7 linked regions of the Neurospora crassa OR74A genome follow. The protein of the gene in region 1 interacts with the protein of each later gene in a biochemical or structural test. Links are inferred from orthologs where the notes say so. Each region holds a gene or a part of one and is shown in the gene's direction. Other genes may lie near its edges. The genes, in order: cdc28, NCU02776, NCU05239, NCU10155, NCU09063, NCU03137 and hH1.

What was found.
Region 2: of the proteins of cdc28 (region 1) and NCU02776, one has a biochemical effect on the other in vitro, tested with the Saccharomyces cerevisiae proteins (8 studies listed by BioGRID, with this or other methods). The link is inferred for Neurospora crassa OR74A from reciprocal best matches to the Saccharomyces cerevisiae genes CDC28 and CDC6.
Region 3: of the proteins of cdc28 (region 1) and NCU05239, one has a biochemical effect on the other in vitro, tested with the Saccharomyces cerevisiae proteins (2 studies listed by BioGRID). The link is inferred for Neurospora crassa OR74A from reciprocal best matches to the Saccharomyces cerevisiae genes CDC28 and CHS2.
Region 4: of the proteins of cdc28 (region 1) and NCU10155, one has a biochemical effect on the other in vitro, tested with the Saccharomyces cerevisiae proteins (2 studies listed by BioGRID). The link is inferred for Neurospora crassa OR74A from reciprocal best matches to the Saccharomyces cerevisiae genes CDC28 and DPB2.
Region 5: of the proteins of cdc28 (region 1) and NCU09063, one has a biochemical effect on the other in vitro, tested with the Saccharomyces cerevisiae proteins (3 studies listed by BioGRID). The link is inferred for Neurospora crassa OR74A from reciprocal best matches to the Saccharomyces cerevisiae genes CDC28 and SMC4.
Region 6: of the proteins of cdc28 (region 1) and NCU03137, one has a biochemical effect on the other in vitro, tested with the Saccharomyces cerevisiae proteins (2 studies listed by BioGRID). The link is inferred for Neurospora crassa OR74A from reciprocal best matches to the Saccharomyces cerevisiae genes CDC28 and PAH1.
Region 7: of the proteins of cdc28 (region 1) and hH1, one has a biochemical effect on the other in vitro, tested with the Saccharomyces cerevisiae proteins (8 studies listed by BioGRID, with this or other methods). The link is inferred for Neurospora crassa OR74A from reciprocal best matches to the Saccharomyces cerevisiae genes CDC28 and HHO1.

The regions. Positions count from the first base shown.
Region 1 is NC_026506.1:1,088,741-1,092,812, reverse strand, and holds cdc28 (cell division control protein 2), read left to right. Parts: upstream 1-1,272; 5' UTR 1,273-1,989; coding exon 1,990-2,026; intron 2,027-2,110; coding exon 2,111-2,795; intron 2,796-2,877; coding exon 2,878-3,142; 3' UTR 3,143-3,728; downstream 3,729-4,072. Other genes in the region: NCU09779 (oxidoreductase), read right to left, coding at 1-253, 313-589. UniProt on the Saccharomyces cerevisiae protein: Cyclin-dependent kinase that acts as a master regulator of the mitotic and meiotic cell cycles. Required to drive the G1-S transition. More than 200 substrates have been identified. Substrate specificity is in part regulated by the bound cyclin protein.
Region 2 is NC_026501.1:9,228,405-9,232,610, forward strand, and holds NCU02776 (cell division control protein Cdc6), read left to right. Parts: upstream 1-1,406; 5' UTR 1,407-1,553; coding exon 1,554-1,614; intron 1,615-1,677; coding exon 1,678-3,692; 3' UTR 3,693-4,083; downstream 4,084-4,206. Other genes in the region: NCU02777 (molybdenum cofactor sulfurase), read right to left, coding at 1-647, 704-785. UniProt on the Saccharomyces cerevisiae protein: Plays a crucial role in forming the pre-replicative complexes.
Region 3 is NC_026504.1:5,644,111-5,646,871, reverse strand, and holds the end of NCU05239 (chitin synthase A), read left to right. Parts: coding exon 1-488; intron 489-540; coding exon 541-1,751; 3' UTR 1,752-2,261; downstream 2,262-2,761.
Region 4 is NC_026505.1:1,592,515-1,596,509, forward strand, and holds the start of NCU10155 (DNA polymerase epsilon subunit B), read left to right. Parts: upstream 1-1,195; 5' UTR 1,196-1,328; coding exon 1,329-2,107; intron 2,108-2,166; coding exon 2,167-3,943; 3' UTR 3,944-3,995. Other genes in the region: NCU04588 (hypothetical protein), read right to left, coding at 89-170, 244-743, 861-947. UniProt on the Saccharomyces cerevisiae protein: As accessory component of the DNA polymerase epsilon complex participates in chromosomal DNA replication.
Region 5 is NC_026507.1:495,314-499,357, forward strand, and holds the start of NCU09063 (nuclear condensin complex subunit Smc4), read left to right. Parts: upstream 1-1,244; 5' UTR 1,245-1,545; coding exon 1,546-2,718; intron 2,719-2,767; coding exon 2,768-4,044. Other genes in the region: NCU09062 (hypothetical protein), read right to left, coding at 1-244, 320-558, 663-819. UniProt on the Saccharomyces cerevisiae protein: Central component of the condensin complex, a complex required for conversion of interphase chromatin into mitotic-like condense chromosomes.
Region 6 is NC_026501.1:4,687,487-4,691,588, forward strand, and holds the start of NCU03137 (nuclear elongation and deformation protein 1), read left to right. Parts: upstream 1-1,302; 5' UTR 1,303-1,958; coding exon 1,959-2,412; intron 2,413-2,477; coding exon 2,478-4,102. UniProt on the Saccharomyces cerevisiae protein: Mg(2+)-dependent phosphatidate (PA) phosphatase which catalyzes the dephosphorylation of PA to yield diacylglycerol. Required for de novo lipid synthesis and formation of lipid droplets.
Region 7 is NC_026507.1:545,801-549,327, reverse strand, and holds hH1 (histone H1), read left to right. Parts: upstream 1-1,161; 5' UTR 1,162-1,356; coding exon 1,357-1,479; intron 1,480-1,533; coding exon 1,534-1,560; exon of another isoform or gene 1,561-1,731; coding exon of another isoform or gene 1,732-1,740; coding exon 1,741-1,763; intron 1,764-1,928; coding exon 1,929-2,059; intron 2,060-2,126; coding exon 2,127-2,533; 3' UTR 2,534-3,027; downstream 3,028-3,527.

The DNA.
Region 1 (4,072 bases):
TTGAAGACTTGTTGAAAAGTGAGAGGCTTGTGTACAGAAGGGTCCTTTGGCTCAAAACACGTCTCGGAATCTGGAGGGTAGGAGAAGAAGGATTCCTGAAGGCCTGTTTCGGGATCCACGGGCGGGTAGGGGAGCTTGAAATGGAGATGCATGTTGGTCTGGTGATGGGGTTGGTTGAGATCGCGGTGAATGATGTTGCGCAGTAGCGTCTTTTGGACCTCGGGGGGAATGAGGTTTGGGAGAATCAAGAGACCTTTTGGGGTTGGTCAGCAATGATTCGTGAGGAAGAGGGGTCCAGGATCTTGAGTTCACCAGGCAAGAGAGGATGGTAATAGATGGGGGCGTCCTTGTCTGTGCGGAACTCTGGTGAGTCTTCGGGGCAGATATAGCTGAAGGACCTGTTCAAAGTCTCGGTAGGAATGGAGCCAGCGAGCACAAACTCGGGGGCTTTTTCGGGACTGCGCAAGTCATCGATCTCGGGGCTGTTCATGACGATTTTCTGGTCGACTTTGGCGAACGACTTCCACTTGAGCCGCAGCTCATCCGACGGCTGCTCGTGCGCATCCAGGTCATGGTGTCCACCCATCATCTTGAAAGTCGGGTAGTTCTTTTGAGCGAGATATCCAAAAAGAGAACAGAAAAGTGACCGAAGAAATGGATATGAGTATACAAGTTGACTCCTTCCGAGTCCTCGTGTGACGTTGCGGATTTGGAGTAGGGAAGTATCGTGAGATGAAATTGTGGGGACTCGAGTGAAGCTTCAGACGGGACGGATGGTCGAGATGGATTGATGTGTGGGCGTCGAGCTGAGGCTGGGCTGGGCGTCTGAATGGCTGGAGCTTCTGAATGGCGCCACAAGTCAGGGGTAGTCAACAGTTAGAGATCGTGGCTACCTAGAAGGTACCTACGTATTCTGCCCCATCTTGGTGGGCTGTCGGGTACAGTCAATGCTCCAAGTAGTAGTACTTACTAGAACTAGGTAGAGGTGGTACATATGTACCTAGATTGCTTGAAAGTTTACCTACCTACCTTGAACTCGGAGTACCTACCGACGAGGAAAGCGGGCATTTTTTGGACGCGTTCATTCCTCCCTTGCAGTCCGTCCCTCCAGTGAGTGGTTTCCATGGTGCCGTCGCGGTCCGCGCTTTTTGTGTTGACACGGATTTCCGTTGCAAGCGCCAAGTCTAAGACGTAATCGTCCCGTCTCCAACCACCTGCACTCGGATGCCCGTCTGGAATAAAACCTACCTACTGCACTACAGTACAGCGGACCACCCCCCTGGACTGCCCTCTAAATCCGACACTCGAACGACAACCACAACTTCACAACCTCAACTTCCACTTGCACGTCCACCGCCTCTCCTTCCTTGGATTTCTGTCCCTTCACCATCACGGTCCCTTAGTATCAAGAAGTTGCAGGAACAACGGACGACAATTACATCGCTCGCTGCATCATATTGCCTTTTCATCAGCGGCCTTTCGCATTCAGCCCTCCGCCCAGGACGACCCGTCGACCATTCACGGCACCATCATCACCACCAAAAGTCAACACCAAAACAAAGTATTTACGGTAGCTAGTACTGTAGCCTTTTGACGGCAACGACGGACGATTCCACCTTTTTTCGTTTTTGTTTACCAATCCGCCACTGCGCTCCCTTTGGACACCACCTATCCTTGGCTGGACCTTGACTCTCCAAGGATCAATCAATCTCAAGAAGGCGACCCTTCGACGGCCGTCACTTTCTCCATCCGCCGCCGCCGCCGCCGCCGCCCCACGCTTCGTTCTGGGCTTTTCCATCAATCACTGTGCTTCAGCGCGCTAGGTACAACATCGTTCGTCGTAATCGTCCCCCACCACGACGACCACGAACACCAGGCACCAACCCCAACTAGTAGTTCTACGACTCCGGGCAAAGTCAATTCTTTCCCTCCAGGGACTTTCAAACCACCCATCTCAGTATAGCGGCCTGGACGGGTAACAGAGCAACCATGGAGAACTATCAGAAGCTGGAAAAGATTGGCGAGGGTACAACACCCCCTTCTTCTTCGACCCCTCCACCTTGGCTCTCTTCCTTCCATGTCCCGTACTGACATTCCACCTTCCGCATAGGAACGTATGGTGTCGTCTACAAGGCCCGCGACTTGGCTAACAGCGGGCGCATTGTCGCCCTCAAGAAGATCCGCCTCGAAGCCGAAGATGAGGGCGTCCCCTCTACCGCCATCCGTGAGATCTCGCTGCTCAAGGAGATGCGCGACCCCAACATTGTGCGTCTCCTCAACATTGTCCACGCCGACGGCGGTCAAGGCCATAAGCTGTATCTTGTCTTCGAATTCCTCGATCTTGATCTGAAGAAGTACATGGAGGCCCTTCCTGTCAGCGACGGTGGTAGGGGCAAGGCCCTCCCCGAAGGAACGGGCGCCGGACTGCACAATTTGGGACTGGGCGAGGATATCATCAAGAAGTTCATGAGCCAGCTTTGCGAGGGCGTCCGATACTGCCACAGCCACCGTGTCCTACACCGCGATCTCAAGCCCCAGAACCTGCTCATCGACCGCGACGGCAACTTGAAGCTAGCAGATTTCGGTCTCGCCCGCGCCTTTGGTGTTCCACTCCGTACTTATACCCACGAGGTCGTCACATTGTGGTACCGTGCGCCCGAAATCCTGCTGGGTGGTCGTCAGTACTCGACCGGTGTCGATATGTGGTCCGTTGGTTGCATCTTTGCCGAAATGTGCACACGCAAGCCCTTGTTCCCTGGTGATTCGGAAATTGACGAGATCTTCAAGATCTTCCGGTACGTTTATGCAGTTACCTTTTCTTGGCACCTTTCTGCTTCTCCCCTAGTCCGCTATACTGACCTCTTTTCCTCCAAACAGTCTGCTTGGAACCCCTACTGAGGACATCTGGCCCGGCGTCACCTCCTATCCCGACTTCAAGGCATCTTTCCCCAAGTGGGTACGCGACTACAACGTACCACTTTGCCAAAACCTCGACGATGTCGGTCTTGAGCTACTTGAATCCATGCTTGTCTACGACCCTGCTGGCCGAATCTCTGCCAAGGCAGCGTGCAATCACCCTTACTTTGAAGACTACAACCCCAAGCCAAAGAGCAAATACCGCGACAGCAGCAGATACGCCTAGGGACGTTCGCCAAGGTCGAAGCAGGAGCGTTAGGCAATAGCAGATCGACTATCCAAGTTTTGCAGCCGGCTGCTTAGGTTCGGTTGGATCTCGGTGACTTCAAAGTGGGCAGTTCGTGGCAAGGGTACAGTCTTTGTGATTCTACCAGTAGCGAGTGAGGTCGACACACCGAAACGGTGACAGAAACAAACTGTCATTATCACACCTGAAGCATATCATAGCATCCCACTTTGCTTTCAGGATACTCGGAAACATGATATTCGACACATCAAATTCCCCATACCTACATTTTGTTGTATGTAGGGTTGTGTTTTTAGGGAACAGCGTTCAAAGGGGTCATGGGTAAAGGAAGTACATTGGAATGGAGTTCTGTATTACACGATTCGGTGTTATCTGGAAGAGCAAATGGCATTCAAGGGATGGGGCTTTCTGTTAGCCCTGGTGCATATTAGGGAGTTGTGGTGTGAAGTGTACTGTACACAGGCAGGGAAAAGGCGCAAGACATTGTTCCAATAAATCTCGCATGTACATACTTTCCCCTGTCCAAACACAGGTCCTTCGTTTGGAGATGCGAAGTGATGTCGGCTGTTCCTTCATCTTTGATGTGCTCCATTTCTTTCTCCCTGCTCGGATTTATGTTGCCATTGATCGATTTCTCATGTTGCCTTCTTGGCTGTCTTTCTTTCCGACAAGCGCTCACACCACCGCATTACATGTCCCCCAACATTGTAGGCATTCGCTTTTATCAGACTGAGCAAATGGTACCTCAGCACATGGGACTGCAGACATCGTCATGCTGACAGCGCTAATGAAGAATGCTTTCAGAAAAGCCTAGCTCACTCAAGCCTGTACCAAGCGGTTGGCTCCCAACATTTCAGCTATCAAAAGAGCATCACGTCAGTGGATTGGGAACCACTCAACAAGACAGAT
Region 2 (4,206 bases), on another chromosome or scaffold:
ATCGGGAAACCCAAAGATTTTGTAAAAAGAGAGGACGACAAAATCGGGTGCTGTTTCGGCGTTGGACAAGTCCAAGGGGGAAGATGAAACGAGAGCGGCGGCGTCTAGGAGGGTGTAGGTCTTTCGTTTGTTGGTTGGCGATAAACTCTGCCGACAGATCTGGGAAGACCAAGAAAGGGGAAAGCGACGGCCGTCCATGTTGGATTGGGCTGGGTAGGCGAAGAGTATCGGTCGTTCTTCGTCTTCGTTGTCGTCAAAGGGACAGCTCCCAGATAACCAGTCTTCCACCTGCCGAGTGTCCAGACAAACACTACTTCTAGCCTCTTCCCGAACTCCTACCAAGCTGGTATGGCTGGATTGATGGTAGACATAGTCAAAGCCCGTGGGCAGACATCTCATGGCTTCGACAACCAGCTTGATCCCGGCTGTGGCGTTGGCGACAAAGACGAGGTCAAAGTCGGCTGGGTCGGCGTTGAAGAACTGCAGGGCTCGGAGACGGATGTCTTGGATGCGCTGGGTTGACAGTTGGGAGGAAGCTGAGGCGGAGTGGGGGTTGCCAAAGAGGTTGGTGGTCATCTCTTGGGCGAAACGGTCCATGAGGGACTTGGGATAGGGGGTGGTGCCGGCATGGTCGAGGTAGATGGAGTCTGTTTGTTTTGTGTTAGTGGTCTGGTCAAGTTGTTGAAAACGAACTTCAACTTGCCCTTCAGCATAGGATACTCTTCTTCTCTTATCTTTTCCACGTCGGCATCGTAGCCATTGTGCTGTATGTTTAACGAACCCATCTTGGAGAACAATCAAGTATCACCAAGTCCATTAAATGACAACCGGTCAACCGAGTTTGATATTTCTGTGAGATCTCTGGGCTATCGACATGGACATCTGAACAGACACTGAGGTGGATGACTTGTCATTGCCACTTGTGGTCATGATACTTGTCGATAAACACAAGCAAAGGCACCTACGGTAGTGGCGTCGGGTATTGGAGGTTTAGTTTTCTTATACGTACCGATTCGGGAGGTCCAACGGGACGGAGATCGCCACTTTCCAGCACAGCAAAGTGAAACACAGGCGGCGGTCTCCCTGCTTCAGTGGAGGGCTCCCCTGGAATGCCCCTGTGGACACTGTGAGAATAGTGCGGGGAAGTGGATACGGATCTGGAAGAGGCCCCGCTTTGACACAAGGCACGCGCCACGAAACGAACCCTCCCTAGCCACAGTCTGTGTGGCTCATGCGCAACGGGGCTTAATTGAAACGCGCAGTGCAGCGGGGAAGCCGCGTCGAGCACCGAGCTGCAGCCCCACAAATTCGCGGTCGCGTCTCCGCAATGTGGAAGTGGAATGTGCCAGGGGTGGCAGCGCGCGAACTGGAATTCTACTTTGGTGCAGTGCGACTGGGACTGAGTGCGCAAGGTTCCTCTTTCCACCTTACAACCACACAACCACGCAAGTCCATCACCACCATCAACATCCGCGCATCGTTCTTTCCACGCGATTGCCGCTTGTCATTGTGATTGTGCATTGCGACTGGTGTTTTAGACTTGACAAAAAATCATGGCCTCACCTAGCGCACCCACGACTCTGGGAAAGAGGAGAAGGAGCACCAGACTCACAGGTGAGCAGCTGCAACTGACAACGACATTCAAGAGTTGCCATCGACATACTGACAGACCACAAGACGAGGAAATCACACTAGGCCCTCTTGCCGTAAAGCGAACAAGACGCTCTCTCCGAATCCACCCAGAGATCCACCATGAGCCCGACCACATCCAAGCAGAGAAGGAGAAGGCCGCCTCACCACCCAAGCCAACTGCCGACGAGGACGTTGAGAACCACAAGGAAAACCGCAAGCCCACAGGAGACGAGGACGAGGACAGAAAGGAGGCCGAAACACCAGCCAAGTCACTTCTCAGAAGGCGCAAATCAGTCATCGCCAGCCCGCCAAAGACAGCTCCCGTCACACCTTCCACACCACGACACTACGATGTCTTTGCAAGAGTACCAGTCACCACTCCGCGCCATCGCGTCATGTCCGTTGGCAAGCTCTCCAGGCGCATGACACCAAGCACGCCCATGACACCCGCCGCTTCTCAGACAGTCTACCATCAAGCTCGCCAACTCTTTTCTCGAAGCGCCGATCCTGGAGAGCTCATTGGACGCGACGACGAGCGCGAGAAGCTCAACACTTTCCTGGATTGCTGCACCACTGCCCATCCCAGCGGCTGCCTCTACGTCAGCGGACCTCCTGGAACCGGAAAGAGCGCCATCGTCAACAAGGTCACCGACAAGTTCGCATCCGAGACATCAACAGTGCGCAAGGCTTACATCAACTGCATGAGCATCAAGTCGTCCAAGGATCTCTACGTCACCCTTCTCGACCAGCTAGTCAGCAAAGATGAAGACAAGGAGGAACTCTCAACCGAAAGCGACGTGGTGGCAGCTCTCCAAAAGCTCATCCTGCCCAGGAAAAAGACCCAGGACGTCTTCCTCGTGGTGTTGGACGAAATCGACCACATCCTCACCCTCGACCCTGAAAGTCTCTACAGCCTCTTCGAATGGTCACTCGAAAAGAAGAACTCGCGCCTCGCCCTGATCGGCATTGCCAACGCGCTCGACCTCACCGACCGTTTCCTGCCGCGCCTCAAGTCGCGCAACCTCAAGCCTGAGCTTCTGCCCATCCTTCCATACACGGCGCCTCAGGTCAAGAACATCATCATCACACGTCTCAAGAGCCTGCTTCCTGGTGGAACACCCAAGGACCCCAACTACATACCCTTCTTCCACCCAGCCGCCATCGAGCTCTGCTCGCGCAAAGTCTCCAGCCAAACCGGCGACCTGCGCCGCGCCTTCGAGATCTGCCGCCGCGCCATCGACCTGGTCGAGTCGGAGACCCGTCTGAAGCACGAAAACGAAGTCAAGGAGCAGATGCTACAAATGTCTCCCTCCAAGAAGCGCGTCCTAGGCGAAAACACCAACCTCTCCTCGGCTCCTGCGCCTTCCTCTCTCTTCCGGAGCATCTCCACTGGACCCAGCGCCAGCGTCTCGGCCTCTTTACTCAAATCTCTGCAAGCCTTGACGCCCGCCACCGCTCCGCGCGTCAGCATCGCCGACCTCAGCAAAGTCACAGCCGCAGCATTCAGCAACGGCACCACTCAGCGTCTCAAGACGCTCAACCTCCAGCAGAAAGCCGCTCTGTGCGCTCTGGTCGCCATCGAGAAACGTAACCGCGCCGCGCAGTCGGAGGCTCTTAACTCTGCTTCAGCCAGTTTTGCATCCACTACCGGCACTCCGTCGAGGAAACAAGAGGCGCCAATTGCCCCGACAGTCAAGACTCTCTTTGAAGCTTACACCAAGCTCTGCAAACAGGACTCGCTGCTTCATCCGCTTTCGTCATCTGAGTTTCGCGAGGTGGTGTCTTCCTTGGAAACTCTCAGTTTGATCACGCCAGTGGACGGCAAGACGGGATCGTTTACTGCCTTGGGGTATAGCTCGCCTGGAGTGGGGACACCGAAGCGGGGAGGCAAGAAGAAGAAGGATGTGTTTGGGATGGGAGGCGCGTTGGTGGCGGGAGATGAGAAGAGGGTGGCTAGCTGTGTGGGGGAGAGGGAGGTCGAGCAGACTTTGCTGAAGGATGATGGGGCGGGAGTGGGGATTTTGAGGGGGATCTTGAGTGGAGAGGCGTTGGATGATTGATTGATTGTGTTTGGGATAGTATTGCAAAGTTGCTGATGATTTGGACGAGTCGGGTTTCATGAGTAGGTTGTTTTGCGTTGTTGGAGAAGGAAGCATTGTTGAGAAGTACGGACGGAGCATGGCATGGCGTGTTTGAGAGAGCATTCAAAAGTATATCATAGGGAAGGTGTTTGGATTCGTTGTAACCCAGGACAAGGGTTGGTGTTTGGCGTTTGGGTATTTGTTTGGTTTTGCGTACTTGTTTGCATTGAAGACAAAAATGGGGAGCAGGGGCACAAAAGTCCTCATCATCGGCATTAGTACCTATCCATTACATAGACCTGCCGTCGTACGTACATAGACAGACACACATTGATACACACCAAAAAATGAAGACACTTTACAAAAACCACTTTTTGACATCCATCCATCCATCCATCCATCCATCCATCCATCCATCCATCCATCCATCCATCCATCCGTCCCTTCCGGTCTTATTAGATAGGTAAAGGTAGATGTGAACAGCTCAGGAACC
Region 3 (2,761 bases), on another chromosome or scaffold:
AGCCTTGAACCCGAATGTGTGTATCCTCCTAGACGTCGGCACCCGCCCCGGCGGCACAAGTCTCTACCATCTCTGGAAAGCCTTCGACACGGATTCCAACGTGGCGGGGGCCTGCGGGGAAATCAAAGCGATGAAGGGGCGGTTTGGCGGGAATTTGCTCAACCCTCTGGTGGCTAGTCAGAACTTTGAGTACAAGATGAGCAATATTCTGGACAAACCGTTGGAGTCGGTGTTTGGGTACATCACGGTGTTGCCGGGCGCCTTGTCGGCGTATCGGTACCATGCGCTGCAGAACGATGAGACGGGCCATGGGCCGTTGAGTCAGTATTTCAAGGGCGAGACGCTCCATGGGCAGCACGCGGATGTGTTTACGGCGAACATGTACTTGGCCGAGGACCGAATTCTGTGTTGGGAGTTGGTGGCCAAGAGGGGTGAGAGGTGGGTGTTGAAGTATGTGAAGGGGTGTACGGGTGAGACGGATGTGCCTGGTGAGTTGCCCCCCTTTTTTGCTGTGTGATAAGTTATACTAACGAGTTGTAGACACCGTCCCGGAATTCGTCTCGCAACGTCGTCGTTGGCTCAACGGTGCCTTCTTCGCCGCCGTCTACTCCCTCGTCCACTTTCGACAAATCTGGAAAACCGACCACACCTTTATGCGCAAAGCCCTTCTCCACGTCGAATTCCTCTACCACCTCCTGCAACTCCTCTTCACCTACTTCTCCCTGGCCAACTTCTACCTCGCCTTCTACTTTATCGCCGGCGGTCTCGCCGATCCCCACGTCGACCCTTTTAACTCGGACGGCCACGTCGCGCGCATCATCTTCAACATCCTCCGCTACGTCTGCGTCCTGCTGATCTGCACACAATTCATCTTGTCCCTCGGCAACCGTCCGCAGGGTGCCAAAAGAATGTATCTCGCATCCATGATCATCTACGCCGTCATCATGGTGTACACCACCTTCGCCACCATCTTCATCGTCGTGCGACAAATCCAACCCTCTCAAAAATCCGACGACAAGCCCGACCTCGAACTCGGCAACAACGTCTTCACCAACCTGATCGTCTCCGTGGCTAGTACCCTCGGGCTCTACTTCGTCATGTCCTTTCTCTATCTCGACCCCTGGCACATGTTCACCTCGGCCATCCAGTACTTTGTCCTGCTGCCTTCCTACATCTGCACGCTCCAGATCTACGCCTTTTGCAACACCCACGACGTCACATGGGGCACCAAAGGCGACAACGTGATGCGCACCGATCTCGGAGGCGCCATTGGCAAGGGAAGCACCGTCGAACTGGAAATGCCTTCGGACCAACTCGACATCGACTCGGGATACGACGAATGTCTACGTAATCTCCGCGATCGCGTCATGGTCCCTGCCGTTCCCGTGTCCGAGGACCAGCTGCAGCAGGATTACTACAAGTCGGTGCGCACGTACATGGTGGTGTCGTGGATGGTGGCCAACGCGACGCTGGCCATGGCGGTCTCGGAAGCGTATGGCGATTCGGAAATTGGGGATAATTTTTACTTGCGGTTTATCCTGTGGGCGGTGGCGGCCCTGGCGCTGTTTAGAGCGTTGGGGTCGACGACGTTTGCGGCGATTAATCTGGTGAGTGCTCTCGTGGAGGGCAGGGTCAGGCTGAGGTTGAATATGAAAGGGTTTAGGTGGATTAAGGAGAAGTGGGGGGATGCGGATGTGAAGGGCAAGTTTGAGGGGTTGGGGGATCGGGCGAGGGGGTTGGCGAGGCGGTGATGTCTTGTTTGTTTGGGATTCGATTCTGTTGTTTTTCATGATTTTCATGCCTGCTGCTGTGATTACGTTGTGGTCAGGCAGGCAGCGAGCAGCAAGCAGCAAGCAGCAAGCGAGCGAGCGAGTTCGTTTTTTTCTTCTTTTTTTGTTCCTCTTCTTCTTCTTTTCTTACGACGACATCTCACGACGTTACGAGATTCTTCTTTTACTTACTTACTTACTTACTTACTTACCTACCTTTTACGGATGGGTGGGTGGGGATCATTTGGGACTAAGGGATATGGAAAGGGCTGGCGGCCTTTTTGATGGATATAGTACTGGTTTTTTTTTTTTTTTCTTTCACTGAGTTGATGATACCACATTATTGTATGGATTGTTTGTTTGTTTGTTTGTTTGTTTGGGATGGATATATAGGGCTCAGCTGGCTAGCTACCTACTAAGGATACCAAATGATTTTGATTGATACCATTACTACTACCACCACCACCACCAATTGTTTGGTATAATTTTGAGGATTACATACAATAACTGTCAATGGTTAGGTAGGTTACTTCGGTCCTTTCTTTACTATGTACGTATATATGTATGTATGTATGTATATATGGTTGTGTTGTGTTAAGAGAGAGAGATGTGTTGGGTAGGTACATACATATACATACATAGAGAGAAGTACCGGCCGAAAGTTGATGACAAAGTTGGGTGGGTGTTGGTTGTCTCCCTTGCTTCCTTGTCCCTATTGTAGTCGGTTCTAGTTCACGTCCACTTTCACTGAACTTGGAGAATCAGGAACTGATCGTTCGTGGAAAGAACTTTCCGTTGTGCTCTAGAGGTGCCGATATTCTATTCTGTTCTAGTTACTATTCACAGACTGGCGGGACCGAAATGACTGCGCTGCGATACGTGTGGCGGGGAGGAAGTGGATGGACTGGGGGTTAGGTAGCCTAGTTGGTCAAGGTTGTGCGTCTGTCTGTCATGAGTAGTGTAGAATAACATATATGACTTGTAGATGGGGT
Region 4 (3,995 bases), on another chromosome or scaffold:
TGAAGTGTAGCGACACATCAAACGGACCGCTCACCTATTGTACATCCGCTCTCACCACCCACATCCTTCAAACCCCAAACATCTCCTCTCAAGCTTTCTGCTTCTCTTTCGCCTCCTCCTCCTTGAACCTCGCAACCAACCTCTCCATCAAAAACGGACTTAGTCCCAAGCTGTAACCAATCCCAACAGTTAGCAACCACGTCAACCCACCTCACCTCACCTCACCAAAGTAAAAATACTCACATGCCCTGATTCGTAACAACCCGATAAGTCCCACTCCCCTGGAACGTCCCCTCGATCATCTTTCCCTGCCCATCCACCTCCACGCTCCCAAAGATATCCTCGGGCCACGCAATCCTTCCGAAATCCACTGGCGTCCTCTCATCACTCAAGTGCACCCATCCTCCCCTGCCCGCGCCTCCCGCGCCTCCCTCCGCTGACGCCCCGCCGGCGCCCGTGTCGCTGCCCTTTTTGCCTACCTTTCTCGAGCCAGGACGAGGAAGGAAGGAGAAACCGGCTGGGGAAGCAAAGGCTTGGGCTTGTGATTGAAGACCGGGGTCGGAGTAGGCGTGTTCGGCGAGGACGGAGTTGAGGATGGAAAGAAAGTGGGGGTTGGTGGTGAAGGACTGGGGAGTTGGGGGTAGGGCGGTGGTGGTGCCGATGGAGAGGGTGGGTGGGGGAGGGGTCGTGGGGAGGAGGGAGAGGATGTAGCTTTTTGGGTCGTTTGGGTGGGGAAAGACTTTCTGTGGTGATGGGTGTTAGTATGGTGTTTGAGTTGTTGTGTGGTGATGTGGTGAGGATGGGGGTTGTGGTGTAAGTGCGGGTGGGGTTGTTGGTGGAGAGGTGGATGGATGACTTGCAATGTTTGGGTTGGACGGCAAGGTCGTGAATGACCTGACTGCGCTTCGTAGCGTAGGAACTACACGAAATCTTGTAGTAAGCATCATGACTGGCTGTATTGAATCTGATATCGAGAATGAAAAGGTTGGTGATGGCGTCAAAAGTTAGTTGATGTCACTCTGGTGCTGTTCGTGCGTCTACTTGTAGCGTAGGTACCTGCTGTAGGTACCTCTCTAGCGCTGCCGGCGGCAACCAGGGTAGGTGGCCCTTGATGCCCCTGTTTCTGACATTGTGGAGCCCGTATTGGCTGAAATCTGGGGTGAGCCCCACTAGAACGCGTCTGGTCCCCTGCTTCGTTTCTCAATTTACGCGTCTTCCAGACAGTGACAATGACGGATATCACCACCACGAACAGACTGGTAGACGGCCAATTGTAACCGACTATACTAAATTGCAAGTTTAGTCGAGCTATCCAGACCACAGACACAATGATCGTTCAAAGTCCCCGCCAAAAGCGGACGAAAACCGGCCAGACAAACGCCCAAGACAGACCATCTCGACCGCAGCCACAAGCAGCAGCCGCCGCCGGCTTCTTTGCGCCCAAGACCCCAGCGGGCCCATCCAACCCGATACCCTCGTCCTCGCCCGCCTTCGCTACTCCAGTACATCCACTGAAGCCGTTCCAACCCCCAGTCCTCACAAAAGCCGCAATCCTGCCCATCATCCTTCCGCCGGCGACACTACGACCGCTCGCCTTCCGAACGTTTACCAAGAAACACAGCCTAACACTTACATCAACTGCCCTACAAGAGCTCGCAACCTTTATCGGTAGACACTGTGGCTCAGGATGGAGGGAAGAAGGCCTGGCCGAAAAGGTGCTAGAAGAGGTAGCAAGGAGTTGGAAGAACCGCAATGGCGGCGTCATCGTGGAAGGCAACAGCCCCGAGCTCAAGGACATTCTCAAGACCCTCGAGGGAAACATGAGCGGAGGAAAGATCCTGACCGGGCCACGAAGCTTGAGCAGACAAAACAGTCTCTTGCTAGAGCCCGACCAAGACGAACAACATGCGCATAGTCGACTCGGACTTCGGCCCGTGCCATCATTAACCCGGGAGGACAGCAACGCCAGCTTTGGCATGTCTGGGTTGGAGTTCACAGAAGAGCCGGAAGACGATTCGGTGAGAGATGTTAGGAGGTGGCTGAAGGTTATACATGCTTTCGATCAACCACGGTTGATGTATAATGTTGGAAAGAAGCATTTTGAGAGGTATGGTCCCTTATTATTTATTACCCTCTTTACATAGGTTACACAGCTAACCTTTGTAGGGATCCTTCCAAACCCTCCCTACTACCAGCCGCCTCTCACAAAACCGATGCCTTCCGCAACCGCTACAACGTTATTCATCAGCGCATCCTTCGCAACGAAGCCTTTCAATCCTCCTCCGTCCAAGGCTCCAGCTTGCGCCAACGAACCAACGCCAACGGCCTCTCCTCCCACAAGATTACCCCAATCGCCAACCTGCTCGGCCGCCATGGCAGCAACCACATGCTGCTGGGCATGCTTGTTGTCCTTCCCACTGGCTCTCTTGCCATCAGCGACCTGACGGGCACCATTACTCTCGACCTCTCTCACGCTGTCGCCATCCCTGAAGATTCTGCCTGGTTTACGCCGGGAATGATTGTTCTCATCGACGGCGTCTACGAAGAGGAGGAGGAAACCATGACCATGGGCAACGGTCTCAGTGGTAGCAGCGGTGTGGGCGGTACCATCGGCGGCCGGTTCCAAGGTTTCTTCATCGGCCAGCCACCATGCGAAAAGCGCCGCGTTACGCTCGGGGTTAGTGGGCCCGACGGCACCGGCGCTGATCATACCATTGGCGGCGGATTCGGCTGGATCGACTTCCTGGGCGTAGGTAGCGAGAGGGCAGTCGGGTCCAAAATGCGCAAGTTGGAGCACAGAATTCTTCGGCAACCAGCGCTGTTGGAGGATGGCAGGCCGTCGAGGGGTAGGGCAGTGATTATTGGCGAACTAAACCTAGATCAGCCGAGGAGTTTGCAGGCACTGAGAAAAATCTTGGGTCTCTATGCTAGTGATCCTGAAGGGTGTACACCCATGACGTTTGTGCTGGCGGGTAACTTCACGCAGCATGCTGTCATGGCGAGGGGCGGGAGTGGGGGGAGTATTGAGTACAAGGAGTTTTTCGATGCGTTGGCATCGACACTGGCGGATTTCCCTAGTCTGCTCACGACGGCTACCTTTGTTTTTGTGCCAGGTGACAACGACGGGTGGGTGTCTGCCTTCTCAGGTGGTGCGGCAACTCCTTTGCCGAGGAAACCCGTCCCAGATCTGTTTACTTCCCGCATCAGGAGGGTATTCGCAGCAGCGAATGCTGAAGCCGGGCTAGCCAACCCTGGCAAAGAAACAGAAAAGGATGCAGGCAAGAGGAGAGGCGGCGAAGCTGTCTGGACAACCAACCCAAGTAGGATAACCCTTTTCGGGCCTAGTCACGAAATGGTTCTTTTCCGAGATGACATCTCCGCCCGGTTACGACGAGCTTCTGTCCGTCTTAAGAACACGAGCAAAGCCTCCGTCGAGCCGGAACCCCCAACCAATGGTAACGACGACTCGGCAATGGATAACCAATGTCCACCCTCCTCCCTCCCCGACGCCCCCGATGCTGACGACGAAGACATGGCCGACACAACCATGACCGACGCCATGGATGTCGATTCTGCCCCTGCCCCTAACCAAAAGACTACCATGCCTCCTCCATCTTCCATACCCTACGACGTCCTCGCCGCCCGCAAGCTAGTGAAAACCATTCTCGACCAAGGCTATCTCGCTCCTTTCCGGCAAGCTATCCGCCCGGTACATTGGGACTATACTTCCGCCATGTACCTCTACCCGCTGCCGACGGCCATGGTACTGGTGGATACTACCGCTCCGCCGTTTTGCGTGACGTATGAGGGGTGCCACGTGATGAATCCGGGGAGCATATTAGTGCCGGGGAGGAAGGGGGCGGCACGGTGGGTTGAGTATGAGTTACCGGGAGTGGGAGGGACGGGGACGGGTGGAGGGAGGGTTAGGGAGTGTACATTCTGAGTTTTGCACATTTCGAGTGAAATGTTTGATTGTCTGGAGAAAAATCTGCCTT
Region 5 (4,044 bases), on another chromosome or scaffold:
AGCGACGCGAGAAATCGAGTGCTTCGGTGACGTTAGTACGAGCAAGAGCGCCAAAGAGCAGCTCGAGAGCCTCGGATGAAGTAAAGACGGGCTGGGCGGCGTGGAAGTAGGCGAGAGCTAGCGTGTAATCGCTCTGACTGGTGGAGCTGCGCTTGTTGACGAGCGGATGGCGGACAAGGGCGATGGTGATTTCGTCGGCGAATTCGGTGGGGAGGGATGGGTGGGTTAGGTTTTCGATTGCGTACTGTTTAGCAGCGTTTGTTAGCGTCTTGATGTCCAGTGTGCAACTTAGGTTCCAGAACCAAACGGACGTCCGCACCTTGAACTCCATGCGATCCATGTGCCACAGGCCCCTCATAAGGATCTGGTACTTTTTCGGCAGTCCCGTCTCCTCAGCAAAGCTGTCCGCCCAATGCGAACGACCTGGATGGACGTCATCATGGTCGAGGAGGAGATAGTAAAGAACGGATATCTTTTGGATCGACGAGGCGCTGCTCTGGCAGATTTGTTGGTGGAGGGAGCGCAAGCCGTTCTCACCTCTGGGCGGATATGCAGTGCCTAGAGGTAGTTACAGTGGTGATTAGCGATGAAGCGCGCTATAACGACAGGGCATGGGTTGTTAGGGTGATTAGGTGGTAGTGTGGTGTTTACACTACACTAACCTTGGGCGATGCCTAACCGACTTAGGACGCGATCCACAAACAGGACGCCGCCCAATGATTTGCGGAAAGTCTCAATGGCACTGGCTCCCTTGTGATCGTAGGGGTTTATGAATCCCGGAGAGGGGAACACGTTGTTGTATTCTGTATAGTCGAGCATCGTGATGTTGAAGTTGGATTGCACAGTTGAAGTGCCCAAGTGTCCTTAGCTGTTGAATGAATTGAATGGAAAGGGAAAAGGGAAAATCGAAGGGATGGATGAGTGCCGTCATGGCCTGGGATACATGTATGCAACGGCCATCGGGTCCGTCAGGTCCATCCCCTGCACCTGGAATGGAGCCTTCCCCGGATCTGTACCTGCGCTAGGTAACGGCCTGTCTTGGCTTATCGATAAGGTAAGAAAGCCGTAAGCGCATGGAATGTTTGTTACACAGAGCGGGACTCCACCAGCCTGCCACGCATGCAGTGATAGCGCAACACGGTGCGAGCGTTCCAGGCAGCGGAGGGGTCGCCCGCTGCAGTGCACGAATTGCATTGGCTGCCCGTGGCTGCTGTGGCTGATTGTTTACCACCGCAGTCACGGTATTGCAAGAAGCGTCCGTCCAAAAACTGCCCTGAATGTCAACAATCTAACCGCGGCGGGGCAAGGAAGAAGCTGCGACAGCACTCAAAGAGTTTCTGCGTGGGCGTCCCATTCCGTGTCTGTCGCAACAACTGCCCTGCGAAATGTGAATACCATTTTTCATCTTTACTTGTTATTACATAAACTTTCACTCCTTGGTTGTCTGATACCCGCATCTTGCAGCGCTTTCTGTTCCATTCTGTTCTGTTGTTTTCATCATCGAGTCGAGAATTTGCAGGCCGAAACCACCGACAGACATCAGTCATGTCGACGCGCCCATCGCGTCGGGCCGCCGCAACCAGGCGCGCCGCCATCATCGAAGAATCCTCATCAGACGACGATATCGCAAACACCACATCGAGAGGCGCCCAAGATGACGACGAGGAGGACGATTATACACCCGCGCCAGCTTCGGCAGCCCGCAAGACTGCTCAGCGAACCACCAGAAGATCCACTGCCACGCCCGCTCCTAGGGCAGGAACACCAGCAGCAGCATCATCATCAACTGCACCGGCACCGGCACCAAAAGCTGCGCCGAAAAGGCGCGGACGACCTAAGAAGAATGCCGCGCCCAAACCCAGCAAAGAGCCCAGTGTCGAACCGAGTGTCGAAGCGAATAACGATCCCCAAGCCGAACCCGAAGCCCCAGCGCCTGCCGTCAAGCCAAAGGATGAGCCGATCGAGGAGGGTATCGACCCCAATGTGACTGTCGCGTCTGCCGTTTCGCCCGCTACAACCGCCGTGATCGCGGAGCCAGAAGCACGGGATACGCAAGAAATTCAGTCACCCCCGCGGAAGCGTAGAACTCTTGTGCGGCGCCTCAGCAGATCGCCAGCAAAGATCATGCAGCAACAACTCGAGCTGCAACAGCAACAAGCCAGCCGTCAAGGGACACCAACGCCAGGCTCTCCGTCAACTCAACGCGTCGATCGCCAACCTGCTCCTCTACAGGACATCACCCAGACCCTCATCAACCTACCACCTCCAGCGACCGCGGCATCAGAGACCCTTGTCAACACACAGCCAACATCAACAGCAGATGAAACCGTCGTGGCGGCCCAGAAGCCCGTCAGGGCTATGGATACTATTCTGGAAAAGCCCATGGATATTGTGCTCAAGTCACGGACCATGGCTCTTCCCGTCGTCGAGGATACCGGCCCGAAGCCACGCATTGTCATCACCAATCTTGTGCTCATCAACTTCAAGAGTTACGCCGGTAGACAGGAGGTCGGCCCCTTCCATGCTTCGTTCTCTTCGGTCGTGGGTCCCAACGGTTCTGGCAAATCCAACGTCATCGACTCGTTGCTGTTCGTCTTTGGTTTCCGTGCCAGCAAGATGCGACAAGGCAAGATCTCGGCCTTGATTCACAATTCGGCGCAGTTTCCGAATCTCGACTACTGTGAGGTGGAAGTGCATTTCCAGGAAGTCATGGACTTGGTAAGTCAAACATTGTTTTGAAGGGGAGTCATTGTGCTGACATTGATAGCCCGGCGGTGGCCACGAGGTTATCCCCGACTCAACACTCGTCATCTCGCGCAAAGCATTCAAGAACAACTCGAGCCAGTACTACATCAACGGCAAATCATCCAATTTTACCACCGTGACCACGCTACTCCGCGACCGTGGTGTCGATCTGGATCACAAGCGTTTTCTCATTCTCCAGGGCGAAGTCGAATCGATTGCCCAGATGAAGCCCAAAGCCGGCAACGAGCACGAAGATGGTCTGTTGGAGTACCTAGAAGACATTATTGGCACTTCCAAATACAAGACACCAATTGAAGAGTCGGCCACCGAAGTCGAAACCCTCAACGAGATCTGCATGGAGAAGAGTGGTCGTGTCCAGCACGTGGAAAAGGAAAGGAACAGTCTCGAGGACAAGAAGAACAAGGCGCTGGCGTATGTTCGCGATGAAAACGAACTGGCGCTGAAACAGTCGGCTCTCTACCAGCTATACATCAGCGAATGCGACGACAATATTGCTGTCACAGAGGAGGCTATCGGTCAGATGCAGGCACAACTTGACGCTGAGCTTGAGAAGCACCACGGCAGCGAACAGCTCATCAAGCAGTTGGAAAAGGCCTACTCCAAGGGTAGCAAGGAATACGACTCTTGGGAGAAGCAGACACAGCAGCTGGTCAAGGAGATGAACAAGTTCGAGCAGGAACGCGTCAAATTCGAGGAGAAGCGGAAGTTCTTGACGGACAAGCGTAAGAAGCTTGAGAAGACGATCGCTAACGCCGAGAAGACGGCTGTTGAAGCGGAGGAGACCATTCAGAACTGCACCAAGGAGATTGAGCGTCGTCAAAAGGACATTGTTTTCCTGGAGAAGAAGGTCAAGGAAGAGGAGGCCGAGCTTGCGACGATACGTGAGAGCCTCAAGGGCAAGACGCAAAAGTACTCGGATCAGATCGCGGCAAAGCAAAAGTCTCTCGAGCCTTGGAAGGACAAGATCAATCAGAAACAGTCCGCCATTGCCGTTGCGGAGAGTGAGCTGGCCATTCTCAGGGAAAAGGCCAATGCCGGAACTGTGGCCCTTGAGGAGATGGAGACGAAAATTGTGGCCATCCAGGAAAGGCAAGCGGCGAAGGCGGAGGAGATGGAGCAGTGCAAAGCTGAGAGAGCGAACCTGATCAAGGAGGGCAAGAAGATCGAGGCTGAACTTTCCAAGCTTGCGGAGGAGGAACCCAAGTACCGGCAACAGCTTTCGAATGCCCGCCAAAAGGCTGACGAGGCGCGGTCGAGCTTGTCCGCCACACAAAACCG
Region 6 (4,102 bases), on another chromosome or scaffold:
ATATCACCACCGACCCCCAAGGACTGAGGACGTACTGATCCTCAGCACCGGGCAATACGCTCAGGCTAAGATTGCCGTCCATAACCCCTTACGGTACTACACGTCTTCCAGGCAGCTGGGGTAAGGCTCTGCCTTGTACTGTATGCGGGATGAAGAAAAAAGGCGCTGGATAAGCCGTGGTATCCCCAGAGGCCTCGCACCTTTGTAGATAGTGTATGTATCTTGTCTCGCCCCTTGGGCACAGTTTGGTGTCACCAGGTGTACCCGTAAGCCGATAGAAACCCGGGATACACAGCGAGAGTTGACGTTCACGGCATATCTCAACCCAGCTACCTTCAGAGTAGACGGCTGCAATACCGCCGGGAACAGACAATGGACACTCAGCGAGCGACTGCTTCTTTTTTTTTTCACAACGACAACCGCTTGTTGACGGCTCGTTGGATCACTTAATAAACGTCAGTCAAACGAGACTGACAAGGTGAGAATACGAAAAAGTTCCATTTTCAAACTCGCGGTGTCAGTGTCAGTCAGCAGGACATCAGGGGAACTTGAAGGGTACCTGGTAGTCCAGCATAACAAACATCCCCGTGACCGCTTATGACACCAATTTGTGCGGTTGGATTGGCCAGCCGTGTTAGCTCGTTGCAGACCGCCGAGGTACCAGGCTGGTAAATGACTATATTGCCGTCTTACAGGGTATCGCTAGAGACTTGCACCAAGTCGGTAAAGTGCGCGTGGGTTGATGATGGGGAACAGCCGGTGCAAATGCAGTCTTGTGCCTGTCTGCTGCCCTGACAAGAGGCCGAACTCATCAAGACAGAATTAGATCTGATTGTTGAGAAGGGAACCGCCCTCGTGATTCTGGAAGGTTGGGCGTTGGGGATGATCCCGTTTCTCATTCCGCCTCACCGGGTATGTAGAGGTGGATACCTACCTACGTATTGTCTGGTAGTTCTACTGGTTTGTTGTTAACTTGGTACCTAGGCACTCACTCGTAGAACACTGAATGAAATGTCTTCCGAGATGTCTCCAACCTGTTAAGGACTAAATGAATGGCTGGATATAGATCCAAACGGCATCCATAAAATTCAATACGGTGTAATTTAGCTCGGAAGAAGCATAATCGCCGCTTGAAAACCCACGGGGAGGTTGACCCGAGGTCTCGAGCTAACTTTCGTACCAGTATAGGTTGGACTGCACAACGAACAACCTAGCCGGTTCCTTAGTTCCTTCCCTTTTAGTTCTACTCGGCGGATCGCGATCCGTTCGCCATGCCCCAAAAAAACACAAAGTTTCTACAACACGAGCTCTTCAATTGTCGTGCAGATTTTGGTTCCTTAGTTCGAAGCATATGATTCTGAAGAAAGGGTTTGAACGCCCCCTTCGGACTTTTCACACAGTGTTTTACCGTACTGCGCATAATCAATCCACTCCCCAAGCCCAGCATCCCACTTGGGTTGCTACCTTCCTTGTCTTTCACTGCTTGAACCGCGGCAGACGTTCGTCATCAGATCCGCATTCACTGGGCAAAGTCCCCCAACACGGCGCATTCCTCAATACTTTTCTCCCGGCATACTCGCACCACCAGACGGGAAGTGAACGAGTCGGATTCACTCACGCACACCACGTTGAGTAACCATCCATTCGAGACGACAGAGCAATTGAGGCCGGGTGGTCAGAGCCTAATATCTCCCTACGCATATCGGGCGTTCATCCGGCCTTCCCGACCTCGCCCAACACACTAGAGAACCCCTACCGGTCGCCTACCGGTCGCCTACTCGAAGTCGAGAATCGAGATTGCGGTCGACATTACATAACCGTCCAGACCGCATGTAGCCTTGCCATTTGACTGCCCCCCCATATACCGACATAACCAACAAATACCCCCTCCCTTTCCCCTTTGACCATCAAGAGGGACACATCCTTCTCGACGACAGAACGAGTTGCGATTGCCTACCATGCAGTACGTCAGGAGTCTCGGCGACTCTGTCTCTACCGCCTGGAACTCCATCAACCCTGCGACCCTCAGCGGTGCCATCGACGTGATAGTCGTTGAGCAGGAAGATGGCACCCTTGCATGCTCTCCCTTTCACGTGCGTTTTGGCAAGTTCTCGCTGTTGCGCCCATCCGAAAAAAAGGTCGAATTCAGGGTCAATGGCGTCAAGCAGGACTATGCCATGAAGCTGGGCGAGGGAGGCGAGGCCTTCTTCGTCTTCGAAACTACAGACACCATCCCTCAGAGCATGCAGACGTCGCCCATCGTGTCGCCCGCCTCTAGCCCCCCGCTCAATGCCGACCAGTCAGGGCCTCTACAAGAACCTGAATCACTCGATCTGAACTCGGTAGAAGGCAAAACCCGTTCTTCGAGCTTCAACCACAGGCCTCCTCCCACTGCTCTACTAGCACGAGACGGTAAGCGCTGTGTCCAGCTTCCACGCCGCCATGATCGACATATACTGACAAGCATGGGTTATAAGGGTTGCTCACACCTCGTTCCGTATCACCAGATCCTATCAAGGGTGAATGGTCTCCGTTTCGCCCACATAGCGATGGCCTTCTGCGGCAGTCAGCGCGAAGAATGCCAAGCGATGGCAGCACCCACGAAGGTTCAGAAGAAGGCGATAGCCACACCGAAAGATCCCGCAGCCCGCCGCCGCTTACAGCACCCGAAGCTCTTCAAAGGGCAATGAACCTCTCCCGAGAGCTCGCCGCCGCCAATATCCCTAACCACATCAGCGAGACCGGAGACCTCATGTTAGATATGACTGCGTTCAAAAACAATGAGGAAGACGCCTTCCGGGCTGAGATCCTTGCGCGCAAGATTCTCACGGAGGAGCTTGATGGCAACTACGACATCGGCGCACTTTTTGGCGTTGACGAGCATGGAAACCTTTGGATCTACAGCAGCATCGAGGCGAAGGAGGCCGCCATGAAGAGGACGATGGACCCCCTACGCTCTGCATCTCACATGGGCAACATTGATGCGGCTTCTGACCCTGGGTATCAGAGCGATGCTAGCGATACCTCAGCCGCCACGACTCTACCGATCCACAGGAGAGCTGACTCTGATGTCGGCCAGATGACCCTGCAGACACCCCCAAGCTCTCCCGGCAGTTCGGCAGCGGGCGATCCCAATCGGAACTACGCAAAGACCTTGAGGTTGACTAGCGACCAGTTGAAGGCCTTGAATCTGAAGCCCGGCGAGAACTCAATGAGCTTCACCGTGAACAAAGCTACCTGCCAGGCTTACATGTTTTTATGGAAGCACGAGGTACCCGTGGTCATCTCGGATATTGATGGAACCATTACAAAGTCTGATGCGCTTGGCCACGTGCTGAACATGATCGGGCGCGACTGGACGCATGCTGGTGTAGCCAAGCTGTATACTGATATTGTAGCCAACGGGTACAACATAATGTATCTGACGAGTCGGTCTGTCGGCCAGGCCGACACTACACGAACTTACCTCGCAGGTATCGTTCAAGACGGGTACCGTCTCCCACGCGGACCTACCATTCTCTCACCCGACCGAACCATGGCGGCTCTCCGTCGCGAGATCTATCTCCGCAAACCACATATCTTCAAGATGTCCACGCTTCGTGACATCCGCAACCTCTACGGGCCCGATCGCACACCGTTTTACGCCGGGTTCGGCAACCGTTTCACGGACCAAATCTCGTATCGCACGGTCGACGTGCCCCGTAACCGTATCTTCACCATCAACTCTAATGCAGAGGTGTCACTCGATTTGCTGAGTCTCAACAAACTCAAGCTGAGTTACGTCAACATGACCGAGGTTGTCGACCATTACTTCCCACCTGTCACCACGCTCATCAAAGGCGGTGGCGAGGATTATACGGATTTCAAGTATTGGCGAGACCAGCCTTTGGATCTTGACGAGTTCTCTGCCAGTGACACCGAGGACGAGCGCAGCGGTGGCCGAAAGACATCTGCTCCGGCTGTTGTCGATGATCATGAAAGTGAGTACGAGGAGGATGACGAGGAAGAAGTTGGCGACGGTCTTGTGGACAGCTACATCTCGAGAAACTCGGTGGATGATTACGAGGAAGGAAGCGTGGCAAGTGAGGATGGGGATTATGAT
Region 7 (3,527 bases), on another chromosome or scaffold:
ATTTGCAAGGTCAGTAGCAGTCTAAGCGACTCGGAGTCGACTTTTTAAAAGCAGGTCCGCATCTGCTATGTATCATGATCCATTGGGATCTGTTGTTGATAAATAAGCAATCGGGCAGCCATCCGGGGCTTGAGTGAAACAATGGTGAGTAACAAATTGCTGTCGAGTCGTCGGAAGCATGAGGTAGTGTAGCCATGCAATGATTCATCCTGTTGGTTGACGTTGCTTTCTTGTTGAAGAAGAGAGATAAATAGATAAATAGAAGATGATGGGATGGGCGAGATACCGACTGAATCTGAGAGATGGGATGCGGGATGGATGGATTGATGCCCTGCGGCTTCGATTGTGCCAACCCAGCCAGCCAGCCAGCCATGCCGACCGACCGACCGATATGCGACATGCCATGCCACCTCACACACACAGGCACACTGATAACCTGCGAGTCGACGAGGAGAGGTGACGGGCGGCAGAACATGCTTCTTTTGGGGCCAGTGAATGATGCCGTGTCCCACCTTGGATCATCCAATCTGTCCGGACCAGACTCCATCTGGAATGGACATCCATCGGCATCCGCACTCCCCTGGACCCCAATCGGTTTCTAAAAAGAGGAGAAACGGAAGAGGAAAAGGGAAAGGGAAAAAAAAAAAGAAGAACAAGTGGGATCGATGGGACATGGGACAGCACCACTGCATCTCCAGCCGAGTCCATGGAAACGGGAAGACAAGGGGAGGGGGGGGGAGAGGGAGAGGGAGGAGGGGGAAGGGGAAGGAGAAGGGGATGGGGATGGCGACCGAGAGGATAGGTACCTACTGTAGGGACGGGAAATCTCATCGACAACCACACAACGAAGCATCGATGCTCTCGAGGTCTCTTCCCCTTCCTTCATGAGACAAGCGAAAAGGAAAAGGTCCGGAGCCCCAGCTTCCACATCGTGTTGACATGGAACGAGGGAACAGGAATCGGGGCCACTGGCCGGCTTCTTTCGTTCTTTCAGCGTGTGTTAGTGGGGTGCACGGGCCACATATCCCCGGGAAATGGGCTGGGGGTAGCGGCTTCCAGGAGGTCACAGAGGCCCCCCCCCCCAGGTCGCAGGGGGAGACGGGAGGTCCGTCGGGGCAGGGGCAGGGAAGAATCAGCGAAATCACTCGGTCGCGCCAGGAGACCCCGCCTCCGTATATAAACACCCAATCTTCCCCCCTCGAGCGCGACTGAGCCCACCCATCCTCCTCTCGTCCTTTGTTTCCCAGTCCACGATCCAACCTCAACTGAACCTTTTGCACGCCCCTTTCATCCAGTTGTATCTTCAGCAAGATATCCTCAGCCTCCAGCCCTAAAACCACAACCACATCCATCACCATGCCTCCCAAGAAGACCGAGACCAAGGCCGCCGATGCCTCTGCCGCCGCCGCTCCTGCTCCCGCCGCTGCTCCCACCTCTGCTCCCAAGACCAAGAGCCCCAGCACCCATGCCTCTTACCTTGTAAGCTTTACTTAATCCCCAAGAGAAACGCATCTTTTGCTAACATTCAAACAGGACATGATCACGGACGCTATTGTTGCGGTATTTAAACCCCCTCATTATCTTTGTTGTGGCGTGTTTTGGTTGTGGGCGCTTCTCTGGTCGGTGAGCAAAATGAGACAATTGCTCTCATGATGCACGCAACCAAGAGTCACCCACACCACTCACCACCCTTTTACTGTCCCTCAGTCGTGCTGATTCCTTCTTTTTGTCATGCTACAGCTCAAGGACCGCGCTGGATCTAGGTATGTGCCATTTTTCTGCTTACTTTTCTCATTTTTTCACCAGGGCTTTGCCAAGCCACACCGCAAACCTTGCGGGCCCTTCCTACGGTCGCACCGATGACCACTTTCATTCTTATTTCCATGACGCGATGAAGGATCACAACATGTTGCTAACGCACACCACAGCCGTCAAGCTCTCAAGAAGTATGTCCGTGCCAACAACACGCTCGGCAACGTCACCGACAACATGTTCGACTCGCTCTTCAACAAGGCCTTGAAGAACGGTGTCGACAAGGGTGTCTTTGAGCAGCCCAAGGGTATGTCACCACCCACATGACGCATCATCTCCTTGTATTACTCTTTGCATGCTCACACACGATATAGGTCCTTCCGGTGGCACCAAGCTTGCCAAGAAGGTCGCTAAGCCTGCTCCCAAGAAGGCTGCTCCCAAGAAGGAGACCAAGGAGAAGAAGCCCGCTGCCGCTAAGAAGGAGGGTGCCGCCAAGAAGGAGACCAAGGAGAAGAAGGCTCCTGCTGCCAAGAAGGCGGCTGCCCCCAAGAAGGCTGCTGCTCCCAAGAAGGAGGTCAAGGAGAAGAAGGCGGCTGCCCCCAAGAAGAAGGCCGCTGCTCCTGCCGTTGCCGACAAGGAGACCGTCCTCACCAAGACCAAGTCTGGCCGTGTCGCCAAGAGCACCGCTAAGCCTGCTGCCGCCAAGAAGGCCGCTGCTCCCAAGAAGGCTGCCGCCAGCAAGAAGGCCGAGAAGGCCGAGCCCGCTGCCGAGAAGGCATAAACTCGTTCCTTTGGGATGATGTTTTTGTCTCTTTTTTTGCGCCTCGGTCTCTTCTCATGATGTCTTTAGTCATTTTTTCACCACCACTTGCGATGTGACGGGCTTACTCGAAAGGCGTTTGGGGAATCATATTGCTTGGGAACACTTATCAACATAAGGGGGGGTTTTCATTGGTCTACAAGTCAACGCGTTTTGCTCTTTTTCACAACATCGCCACAGCGCGCGCGGGGGGTAGCTTCTTGTTTCTGGCTTTCATGTATCTTGGATTCACACATCACTCATGGGGATTGAGGAGGTTTGGATCGTTTGTGCTGAAACGCAACGGAGGGTAGGTTTGGGCTACAACCTATGGATGATTGGGAAATGGGAAACGGGCGACCGGCGGCTTCGAGGGTGTCTCAAGAAGCGAAGGACATACACCAAAAAGCCTTATCTTGGATACTGCATTGCATATATAATCCGTCTTGGAACGATACCACTTTTTCTTCTTCAAATACCCTGAGCAAGCGCTTTGCCCTTTTAGTTTGACATGGCTACCTGACGATTTCGCAGTGTAGTTCTGAAAAAGCCGAGAATTTGGTTTGATGAATACGAAGTTTGGAGCGAAGGACCTTGAAGCGATGATCTGGCGGTCTGGTAGTGATGCTGAGTCCAGAGGCGAGAAGGCGGCTTCAATCGCTTCATTGTATCTGAAATATATCACGAGGGATACCCTATTGCTACGACGAACGAAATTCGCAAACACTTTTTTTTTTTTTTGATCATATTGCAACAAATTATCTAAGTTTTGTGGGGTGCGGTGAAAAAGGATTGAAAAGCAAGAAGCGAACTAAGAGTTGGCTGGGACGAGCACAACAACGGGGATCCGGCCGGTGGGCGGGAACGCGACTATGGTTAGGTTGTGGGCGGCTCGCTCCTCGCTCGCTCCCCTGTTCCAGGTTTGTTTACAAATTTGATGCCCCGACTTTTTTTTTGCCGGCAAAACACCCAAAAC